Linked DNA regions of Notamacropus eugenii. The main gene of each other region encodes a partner of the protein of the gene in region 3 in a complex. Links are inferred from orthologs where the notes say so. Each region holds a gene or a part of one and is shown on either strand. Other genes may lie near its edges. The genes, in order: nucleoside diphosphate kinase A, ANP32A and TREX1.

What was found.
Region 1: TREX1 (region 3) and nucleoside diphosphate kinase A share a complex: the UniProt entries of both Homo sapiens proteins name them as parts of the SET complex. The link is inferred for Notamacropus eugenii from reciprocal best matches to the Homo sapiens genes TREX1 and NME1.
Region 2: TREX1 (region 3) and ANP32A share a complex: the UniProt entries of both Homo sapiens proteins name them as parts of the SET complex. The link is inferred for Notamacropus eugenii from reciprocal best matches to the Homo sapiens genes TREX1 and ANP32A.

The regions. Positions count from the first base shown.
Region 1 is NC_092873.1:361,375,420-361,379,168, forward strand, and holds the start of nucleoside diphosphate kinase A, read left to right. Parts: upstream 1-1,200; 5' UTR 1,201-1,428; intron 1,429-3,749. UniProt on the Homo sapiens protein: Major role in the synthesis of nucleoside triphosphates other than ATP. The ATP gamma phosphate is transferred to the NDP beta phosphate via a ping-pong mechanism, using a phosphorylated active-site intermediate.
Region 2 is NC_092872.1:132,030,432-132,034,180, forward strand, and holds the start of ANP32A (acidic leucine-rich nuclear phosphoprotein 32 family member A), read right to left. Parts: upstream 2,863-3,749; 5' UTR 2,848-2,862; coding exon 2,683-2,847; intron 1-2,682. UniProt on the Homo sapiens protein: Multifunctional protein that is involved in the regulation of many processes including tumor suppression, apoptosis, cell cycle progression or transcription. Promotes apoptosis by favouring the activation of caspase-9/CASP9 and allowing apoptosome formation.
Region 3 is NC_092872.1:14,519,160-14,522,580, reverse strand, and holds TREX1 (three-prime repair exonuclease 1), read left to right. Parts: upstream 1-831; 5' UTR 832-951; intron 952-1,734; 5' UTR 1,735-1,738; coding exon 1,739-2,710; 3' UTR 2,711-2,884; downstream 2,885-3,421. UniProt on the Homo sapiens protein: Major cellular 3'-to-5' DNA exonuclease which digests single-stranded DNA (ssDNA) and double-stranded DNA (dsDNA) with mismatched 3' termini. Prevents cell-intrinsic initiation of autoimmunity.

The DNA.
Region 1 (3,749 bases), on a different chromosome or scaffold from region 3:
TCTATCTCTAATATGTGCCTTTCATTGAGGCCTCTGCCTTATGGAATACCTAGCTTCTATAAAGGCTCAGCTTGTTTTACCACAGGAGATTTTTCCTAATCTTCCCTGGATGTCAGTGTCTCTTCCCCAACTCCTTCTTCCTCCAATTGCTTTTTCTTTAACTTTGTACATATTTTACATTTTCTTCTGTGTACATTTTGTTTCCCATGATGGGAAGTAAGCTAGGGAACAGGCAGTTTAATCATTTAAGTCTTTTCATCCCCAGCAGTTGGCAAACAGTAGGCACATAATAAATGCTTGAATCGACTCACATACAATTACACAGAGAAGTAAATAATTTCAAGAGTGTTTCTTTGACGAAAAGGAAGGCGTGGATGAGGTGAGATGTGTATTTGATACACAGAAGACAGCCTGTGCAAAGGCACCAAGAGCAGGGATGGAATCCCACGTTTGGGGGAACAGTCAGCAATCTACTTATCCAGCACCAACATGTCTTCGTTGTTGTTGGGTCCTGTTGCACTCCTCATAACCCCCTTGACCACCTGTCCATGAGGGCTGCTTGGCAAGGATACTGGAGTAGTTTCCCACTTCCTTCTCCAGTTCTACGCAGGGAAGGGTTAAGTGACTGGCCCAGGGTCATACAGCTTGGGTCTGACGTTGATTTGGAACCCAGTGCTCTCCCCACTGCACCAACATGGCAGGCACCTTCTTGGTTACGGAAGGTTCAATACAAAGAATGACGTAATCGCTACTTATAATTCAGCTATTAAAAGTGCAACAAGGCTTTTGGGCCATCGAGGGTACGTGTACAAATACGTACTAAGATACCTATTTCTCTAGCGCACAGACACAAGGCGTGTGGAGGAGGAGCAGGCAGAGGCGGCTCCGGGCAGACAAAGAACAGGCAGCCGCGGGAGTGGGGGTGGGGGAGGGGAAGGCCCCGGATGGGGCCGAGGAACATTACGGGCCAGGAAAGTGGGAGGGTGAAGCACGGAAGGTGCGGCCGGGACACCAAGTGCACGGTTGTAAGAGCGACTGCCGAGTTCCGGGCCAGGGATGGCGCCGTCGTGCGGGCCCTGGCAGGGTGAGGAGGGGAGGGCCTGTAGGGTGGAGCCAGGAAGACCGCAGGAAGGGAGAAAGCCACGATACTCGCCCCACCCTTCTCCTCATCTGGGCGGAACAGGAAAAAGCGGACTACACCGGAAGTAGTCATCCGCAGGAGAGCGTCGGGAAATGGTATCCTCTCTACGCAGACTACGCTAAGGGGGCGGGGAGTAAAGGAAAGCGTCCGGTGCTCGTCAGAATCGGCTCCCGGGATCCCTAGACTTAAGCGGAAGCGTTCCGCGCTCGGTTCGCAGAGGACCACGTGGCGCCGGGACAGCTTCTGGGCAGGTGGAACCAGGACGCGGGTACAGACTGCGGGTCCAGGTGAGGGGAGCTCCAGGGGCGCGGAAGTCAAGGGCTCGGGCAGCTTTTGTCGGCGGGGATTCCCGGGGAGCAATCTGAGCCCCAGCCCGGTTCCTCTCCGCTCTGTCCCCGCATTAGAGCCGCACAGCCCAAGTGTTGATCCCCGGAGAGGGCTGGGACTCGGGGATGTCCCTAAACCTGGGGCGTTGGGGTTCCCCTTGGGGTCGTAGGTTCGTGGGCCTGGAGCTGGATGGGATGGGGGGGTAGCTGACTCAGCATCGTCATTTTACGGATAGAGAAACTGAGGCGTACGGAGGCGAAGTGACCGGCCCAAGGTCCCATGGACCTCTACCTGCATCCCCTTCCCGGGATCCTTCTTCCCTTCTTTGCTAGTCACCATGTCAGCGTACACTTGGTTCCTTTTTTCCCTCTCTCTTTTAAGGTCCCTTTTACTTGTGAAATTGACAAGCACGAACACTTCCTTATACAGAGCACACAAAAAGGCTTGTGGGTCACACGCTGCCAAAATCTATTTAAAAATCTGGTATTTATATGGCTCTTTAAGATGCTGTACAAATATTTTGTCCTCACAGCGACCCTGGGAAGTAGGTGCTACTGTAGTCCCCATTTTACACATGAAGAAACTGAGGAACACAGGTTAAGTGACATGGCCCAGGATCACACTATTAAGCGTCTGAGGCAGCGTTGGAGCTCAGGCCTTTCTGGCTCCAGTTCCAATGCTTTCTCCGTTGGATCCCTTTGCTATTTTAAGTATGATTTAAAAAAATATATATATTGAATTTTACTCAGAAGGTCCATCATCACTGCTTCTCTTGCCTGTGTTTCATTCTGAACTTGCTTCTGCCTCTTCTCTGTGTTTTTAATGTCTGACACCCCCCCTTCCGCATTTTTGTATTACTGTTACTACCCTTTTAATTTTTTTCCCTGCTACACTCCAGGAAAGTAAAATAAGTAATGGTCGAGCAGAAAGGAACCATAAATTGACTGTCTGAAAATGTTTGTCTCACTCCGCACCTCACGTCTGGCTATTGTCTGCCCAGAGGTTGGATGAATGTGCTATCCCAAGTCTTTTGGAGTAATAATTAGTCATTGTATACTTATTCACACTTTTTTGTCCTTTACAACGTTGTTATCATCGGATACATTGTTCTCTTGGTGCAGCTCTCTTCATTTTGCGTCATTTTTACAATTATTCCCAGCTTTCTCTGAATCAGTTCCTTTTATCATTGCTTTTGCTATAATACTATTCCATTACCTTATACCGTAGTTTCTTCAGCCATTCCTCTTTTGATGGGCACCCAGTTTGTTTACAGTTCTATACAACAACCAAAAAGTGCTTCTATAAATATTTTGTGCACATGGGTCCTTCCCCTCTTTTATACATGTGTGTGTATATAGATATATATACATATATCTATATACACACACATACACATATACATACATATAGTCAAAAGGGTTTTAGATGACAACCTTTTCTTTTGCTCTAAGGGAAGGAGGGATAGATTGGGAAGAAGGAGACTCAAGTCCCAAAACTGACTGCTACCAGCTTGCTTTGTGATTTGGGACAAGTCACTTTGATTCTTTGGGCCTTGGTTTCCACATCAGTAAAATGCATGGTTTGAACTTGAACTCTGAGGTCTTCAATCTCTAAATGTTTATGAGAATTCTTAGAGTTATATAGAATAGGATCTATACCACAGGCTTTTCTTACATCATTAGATTTGGTAGATATGTAATTTCATCTGTTTCCCCCATCTCCCTCTTCTCCCATCATGCAGATAGCAAGGCTTAGGGGCTGAAAAATTCATCACCTGTTGGCTAGCCTCCTTGGTGAAGAGCTGTTGTACACTCAGCTACACTGATACCAAGGGGAAGTTAGATAATTAGCACCTGTACTCAAAGATATTCCAGCTTGGTTGGTCATGTCACAGCTTGCTTTCCCCAGGTGTAGCACCCAGGGTCACCTCTGCACCATGAGGCATCATCATAGGATTTGAATGGAGCACCACAAACTCACTTGTTTTGTACTACCTTGTATTGCCTTCTGGTTCAGTGTATGCTACTGTTGTCGCCTACAGATGAGTATAATTTAAGGTAGGGAGTGAAAGGGGAAAAGGATAGGTAGATTTGTCTGAGAAATCAAGGCAGGGATGATTTGTTGCTACTTTTATTTTCTTTCCCATAGTTATTACAGTTCCATTTTAAGCAGTAAATATTTGATAAACACATACTGAATTAAATAGGAAAAAAGTAGGATCCATGGGATTAGGAGAAATGTTTTACTTTTTAAAAATTGATATTAAAGTTAGATTTAGGGA
Region 2 (3,749 bases), about 120 Mb from region 3:
TGGTCCCCTTTAAAGCTAGTGTCTTCCTTGTGAGATTATTTTCATTTTATCCTGTATATAGCCTGTTTGTACATAGTCATTTGCAAACTGTCTTCTCCATTAGATTGTGAGCTCCTTTAGAAAATATTTTTTTTTAATGGGGGTGATGGGCAATGGGAAGGAGTCCTATGTATTTTTTGTTGTTTTTGGTATGCCCAATACTTAACACAGTGCTGGCAAAAGTAGGTGTTTAATAAATGCTTGTTGACTTGTTGACCTGATTTAGGCCTAAAGTGGTGGTGGCTCCTCCAGAGATTCTTTAAGTATTGGCACAGATTATCAGTCTTCAGTGGCTTAGGTCATGCCTCCAAAAGGAGTCAATAAGAATTGATCCGTGGATCTTGAAGGCTTACTCAGTAGAAATCCCAGATAGCTACCAGCTAAATTACTGTAGGCATTTCCCCTCACCTGCACCCAAATAAGACCATCAGAGATGAAAAAGAAACCTTTCTAAGGAAGGTTAGAAGAGAAGGGGAAAGTCCTGCCTAGGTTAGGTGGCAATTCAACAATCATTTATTAAGGTGCTATACAGGCAATTTACATAAGAAATTTACATAAAAAACACAACCCCTTGAGAGCAGGGACTGTTTCACTTTTGTCTTTGTATGCCCTCTGCCTACCCACAGCAGGCACTTACTACGTGCTTACTGATTGAATTTGTCAGAATACATACTTTTTCCTACCCCATATACGCTATGCTCAAATCTTCATTAAAAAGGTATTGCCCAAGAGCTATTCCTAGGCTTTTTCTGGATGCCAAACCCCACAGAGCTTTTATTCTGAAGTATCAATGCACCTGTACTGTAGTGGGAGAATGAAGAAGTACTGGAAGGAGACTGAAGTCAGTGACTGCTTCTGCTTTGAAGAATCTGGATCAGTTAGCCACTTAATTGAAAGTACTGTTACATCCAGAAAATCATAAACTTAACCAAACTCATTTCCCTCAAAAATATACAAGAGGGCTTCTCCCAATGCAAGTTAACTAGTAATATTTTCCTGGGTTTTTTTTTCCACTAAATTTCAGACCTTCAGGATATATGTATATATAGAGAGAATCTTGTCACCTTTCCCCTATAAATACCATCTATTCCTTTCATCACTATAAAAATAAAACAAATAAGTGTGTCTATGTTTATAGAGTCAATCTCCAATTGTCTATGGCAATATTTCATATCTGCTTTGTTCCCAACCCACCCTTCAAAACTTCCAATGATCTTAAGAATCCTGGGTCCCAAAGCTTCTAAATATTCCGGGAATATAATCATCAGCCCAGATGAAATATAACTAGGTAACTAAGATTGCTATAAAACCATCCTATGATGTATTCTACAGCCTAATAATAGTTTTCTTTCATTATTGCAAAAGGGGACTCCTCTCATTTGATGTCAATAGGAGAACTGCATAGCCCTAGATTTATGTGTTCCCAAGAAAGCTCATTCACTCACAACCAAAGGATCTGGCAACAGGTAGTTGCAACTCAGATATTTTAACCTGTAAGATGTTTGGCTAGTCAAGCCTCACAGAAGAGCCTTCCTTCCAAAAAGAATGCTGCCGTTTGAAAAGTGCCTCAACTCAAGAGCAGTCAACACTAATTTTGCTCTGTGAAAATAAACAAGAGGAAGACCTATTAATATAAGGATTTTGTCTGCTTTTAAAAAATATCCTATTTCCTTTTAGTTTAAGAGAAATATTCATAACCTTAATCTCCTCCAAAGCAAAAGGAGGGGCGGAGGGAGGGAGGACTCCAGGACTTTCACTAAACGCTGACAGCCAGCGGAGGCGCTGTTATAACATACTAGAAACAGAAAGAACGCGACCTACCTTCCCGGAGAGCCCAGCCCAGGAAGGCGTTTTCCCAACTCATCAATAATTCGTTCCCTCCCGTAGGAAGCGGCTGCTGCTGCTGCTGCTGCGGGCATCAGAGATCAAAAGTCTTGTGCATTTCACGTCTCCCCCCACCCCACCCCACCCCCCAAAAAAGAAAGAAAAAGATCGTGTTTGCCCCACCTTTGGTCAATTCCAGTGAAATAATAATGTCAGGTTTTGTTTTTTTCTAAAGAAGCAATATTAATGTAAAAGTTAACTCCGAGGTTCAGGGTGAGAAAAATATAGGAGGAGAGCAAAATATTGGGGTAGGGAAAGGACCTCGGAAGGAAGAGAACCTGATTCGGTGTGGCCGTCTACACAGAAAATTCAATCCTTTCAATGTTACTACTCCAAAGAACATGGACAACAACAACGTTCCATTTAAAGACACAGGACATTCCATTTAAAGATACCGGGCGATTCCAAGGGAGCGGGAGACGTCCCTGCGGAGAAACCACGAAATATGGGCTCCTCCTTCACCCTCTCCGGCCCCAAAAAGACCAGGCAGAGGCAGCCAAGCTCTTGATCGGTCACTCTACTATCAGCCAGTTCGTTTGGAAACTAGTCCTGTGGTGCGCTTTCGGAGATGGCGCAAGACTTAGCATTTTCCCTTTATTTTCTCCCCAGTGACAACAGCCACAGTGACAAAATGGCAGCTCTCTGCGCTGGCAGTCATGTTACACACACACGCAGAGCGCAGTGAAAGCGCCCCTAGAGCCTTCGCTGCAATTCCGGAGCAACCTTCTCCCACCTCCCCCCAATAACCAGAAAGTATACCTCTCTTCTTAACCTCAGAGCGGGGGAGGAGAGGGGTGCGAGCCGTTCGAACCCCCCGGGCTCCCGAGCTGCCCCGGAGAAAGGATATTGACTATTTTTAAAGGCTGGCAACCATCTCGCTCCGCCACCCACCCTAAGACACATACGCACACCCTTGTCCCACATCTCCCGCCCCGAATATCGCCCAAATCCTCATGGAGACAGTCGCCTTCATTTCAAACCCAGCATTTTTCTTTTGCAGCTCGATGGGGGAGGGGGGGGCGGGACGGGAGAAACCCAGGAAAAAATGGCTGCTCGTCCTATTTCAGCTTCAACGCGGTGTTGCCAGCCCCCGGGACAAAGTTGAGAAAGGATTTGGAGGTGTGTACGGGGGGCTAGGGGAAGGGGAGGTTTGGGGGGGCGCTGGGGGCGCTCTCTCGAATCCTTTCGGAAAGAAAACAAAAATACACGCACCCAATTCTCTCCTCTCCTTCCCAACCCCCTTTGTCTCTTATTACCCTGTTTTCTTAGCAAACAACAAGCAAACTGCCCCCCTCCTCCCCCACTAATGCCCAACCACTCCCCACTGGAGTGAAGCGGGGATCTGGGGAAAAAAGGATACGAAGGGTACGGGGTGGGGGGAGGGAGGACGCGTGTGAAATATCGTTTAGTATGCGCGTCGTATTCCCCTCCCCCCTCAACATAAGACACGAAGACTTTGTGAAGTTTAAAGAGCGGGTTCTATTCGCTCCCCAATCTCTCTTCCATTTGGTTAAGCATGTTTTTAGAACCCACTCCTTGATCCACATCATCGCCCAACGCTGTCCTCGGCCCCTCCCCCCCACCAGGGAACGTAGCTCTAGGTCTTATCTGTGGCTGGGTGGGGGTCGTTAAAGTAGGTGGCCAGACCAGTCTCCGTGTAGACTACACGCGGCACCCCCCTTCCCCCATGCCCTAACCCTTAGAGCAGTTATCCAAAGATGTGATGTGAAAACATAACCAAAATATTTATGGTAATTCTCCCTTTCGATGAGCAGCCCCCCTCGTCTAACAAACCATAAAACACGCAAATAGAGTGTACACAACTG
Region 3 (3,421 bases):
AGCAGAGCTGGGCCCTGAACCTAGGTTTCCTGCCTTCTGACCTGTTCTTCCCATTCAGGCTCAGAGTGCTGCGCAAATCTCATGATACGTACACATTAAACACAAGAAGTCCATCCCCCCACAAAGACACTTGGTGCCCCCCTATTTGTGCTGTAGAGCATCTCCAGACCAAGTTGAGGTTTCTACTTGTATCAAAAGTAATGCACTACATCCTCCCCATGTAGCCTGTCTCCACTTTGCCCTTCCCTGGATAGAAAGAACATGCCAGGGCCCAAGAAAAGTTGATGGTCCAGCAAGACACCTGTGTACTCTATGAGTAGGTCACACCTTCCTCCTGTCTTCACCACAACCATTCCCCCACCCCACATGTAAATGCACTGCCCATTAGAAGTCCAGTGAGCTTTGGGAAACAACTATAATTCCTAAGTGGGTCCCACCTTGATTTCCTGGAATTCCCAAGGAAGCCCGCTCTAGACTGGATGCCAGTTCTCTGGTGCCCTGGGCAGATGCTGGGAACGCTGCCAGTCATCACGGTCAGGCACTGCACCAATCTTCATTCCCCAACAGAGCAACGCTGTGCCAGAGACATTCCTGGGAGATAGGGCTCGTGCCGGGTTGGGGCAGGTCCCAGGGCCCAGAAGGACCTTATTCTGCCAAGCTCTGGGCCCTCGGTCTCCAGACGGGTCCTGCCATCCCAGAGCCCCGGAAGCCTGGCTGGGAAGAGCCGCTCTCCCGGTGCCCGCCGGCTGATAGACAGGCTCTCCTCCAGGTTGGGAGGGGCTGGGGGCGGGTCCGCGCCCCGTTGTGGGTGCTGGGGGGCGGAGCATGGGCGGGGCTCGGCCCCAGCTGGAGGGTGCGCTTTCGTTTCCCCCAAGCCGATCCTGGCGAACTAGAACTTCCCCGAAGTCCCAGCCTGCCCGTGGTGCCCAGTCCTCTCCTCCGATCCGGCCGGTGAGTAGATCACGGGCCCCGCAGGTACATCCCGGGGAGGGGAGCCCGGTGAGGCTCCGGGATGGAAACCTGGCCCATGCTGGCGTGGGGAGGAGGAGCCCGGGCGGGGCCGGAGCCAGGGAGGACGCTCGGCGATTCCACTGCAGAGCCGTGCCCTCGGGGAGGGCACGAGGTGCCCCAGAAGGCCCTTCCAGCCCTAGAGCCCCCGGGATCCTGGGCTCCCCCGGCCCCAGATCCCTGCCCCCCAAGCTGGGCCCGGCCTGGCTGGCAGCTGAAGCCACGCCCAGCAATCCGGGCCTCGGTCTGAGTCAGCCCCCCACCCCCGCCCTGGCTTGGGGGCCCCCCACCCCGCCCTGGCTCGGGGGCCCCCCCACCCCGCCCTGGCTCGGGGGCCCCACTGCCTCCCTGGGCCCCCTGCCTCGCTGCCCTGGCCCTTACTGGCCCCGCGGCTCTGTCTTCTAGGAGTCCCCCTGAGGTAGATCCCCCCCACGCCCCAGATCCGTGAATTGCGGGCCCCATGTGGCTGGCTCTCCACCTCCACCCCCAGCCCCCACCCCCGGCCCAGGAGCTCCGGAGCCGGCTCTCTCCCTCCGTGTTCCCCACGTCCCCCAAATCCGGGCTTTGCGCTTCCAGCCGCGCAGCTCCTCGCCTCGCCTTCCCAGACCCACGAGGGGCATGCACCTCCATGGCCGCCTCCACCTTTGCTCCCTGCGCCCCACCACCCCGGCTCCGCGCCCCTCGGGCCTCTCCATTCCCCTTCCCCTTCCCTCACTGTCTTCCCAGGTCCATGGGTTTGGAAGCTGCCTCCTCTAGGCCCATGGAGACGCTTGTCTTCATGGACCTAGAAGCTACGGGACTGCCATTCTCTCAGCCCAAGGTCACGGAGCTGTGCCTGGTGGCCGTCCACAGACACGCCTTAGAGGGGCCCCCAGCTGCACCTCCCGCAGGGGGCTCTTCCCAGGTGCCACAGCCACCCCGGGTGGCCGACAAGCTCTGCGTGTGCGTGGCACCGGGAAAGGCTTGTAGCTCCGCAGCCAGCCACCTCACCGGCCTGAACACGGCCATGCTGACTGCCCACCGAAGGCGAGGCTTCGACTCCGGCCTCGTTGACCTGGTCCAGGCCTTCCTTCAGCGACAGCCACCCCCTGTGTGCCTTGTGGCCCACAACGGAGACCGCTTTGACTTCCCCCTGCTGCAAGCTGAGCTGAGCTGGGCCCGGCGCGATGCCCTGAGGGGTGTCTTCTGCGTGGACAGCATTGCCGCCCTGAGAGCCCTGGACCGCTCTGGGCCATCCCGTGAGTCCAGCCAAAGGAAGAGTTACAGTTTGGGTAACGTGTACAGCCGCCTGTACGGCCAGGCCCCACCGGACACCCACACAGCTGAGGGTGACGTCCTTGCCCTGGTCAGCATCTGCCAGGCCAGGCCCCAGCCACTGCTGCACTGGATTGACACGCATGCCAGACCTTTCAGCAGCGTCAAACCCATGTACGAAGCCGGAGCTGGGACGGACCAGGGAGCTGCCTGTGATACAGAGACAAAGACTGAACGCCAGAAGGTTCGAGCGGCCACCAAGCTGGCCACATCAGGGGATACCAGCCCAGCTGGCAGGAAGAGGAGACCTAGATCAGAGGCTCCCTCCCGCTCGGGGAGTATCCCTGCGACCTCATGTTTGAACACATTCCATCTGCTGGCAACGTTAGTCCCCCTGGTTGTCTTAACCTTGGCAGTAGCTCTGTACTGGGTACCCTGGTCATTCTAACCATGTCATTCACATTGTCCTGGGTACCCCTTGATCTCATCCAGACTTTGGGTGGGGGATGTGCTGTTATTGTCAGGTCCTCCAAAGGAAAGGCTGATGGATATGTTGTAAGACAAACTTATAAATAAAGATTACACTTGGCCTGGACGGTAGGAACCCAAGGGGCCTCATCCAGCAGCTTGTCTGGCCTGTCTTTGTGGTAGCCCACCTTCCAAAGTCTATTGGATGGGGATGACCAACTAGACACACCCTTCCGGGCAAGGTGGAATTGGGAGAATTATATTTAGTAAATCTAAAGAGGGAAGTGAGAAGGATCTGGTTACCTCTCAGGCCAGGACCAAAGCCCTCCCACCAGTTGTCCTACACAGGGGCTCAACATGGAGCAAACTCCAAGCTTTATTTAGTTTCAGTCTGAGGGGACACATCTGGCCTCAGAGCCGCCATCTGAAGGCAGAGAGAATTTAGCTTTCAGAGATCTCCTGATCTCTAGGGGGCAAATTACAGGGCCCTCCAAATCTAATCTGACCACAGGTGACAAGTCACAGGGCTAATCTGGAAATCAAGAACCCTCCCTGAGAGAGGCCCCCAATCTAAGCGAACCAACCTAATATCATTCCCAGTGACTGGGACCCAAAAGCTCCTTTAAATCCTGATACCCCACCACCACCTTTGAAGTTACTGAAGAACAGTCATTTTCAAATCCATAGGTTT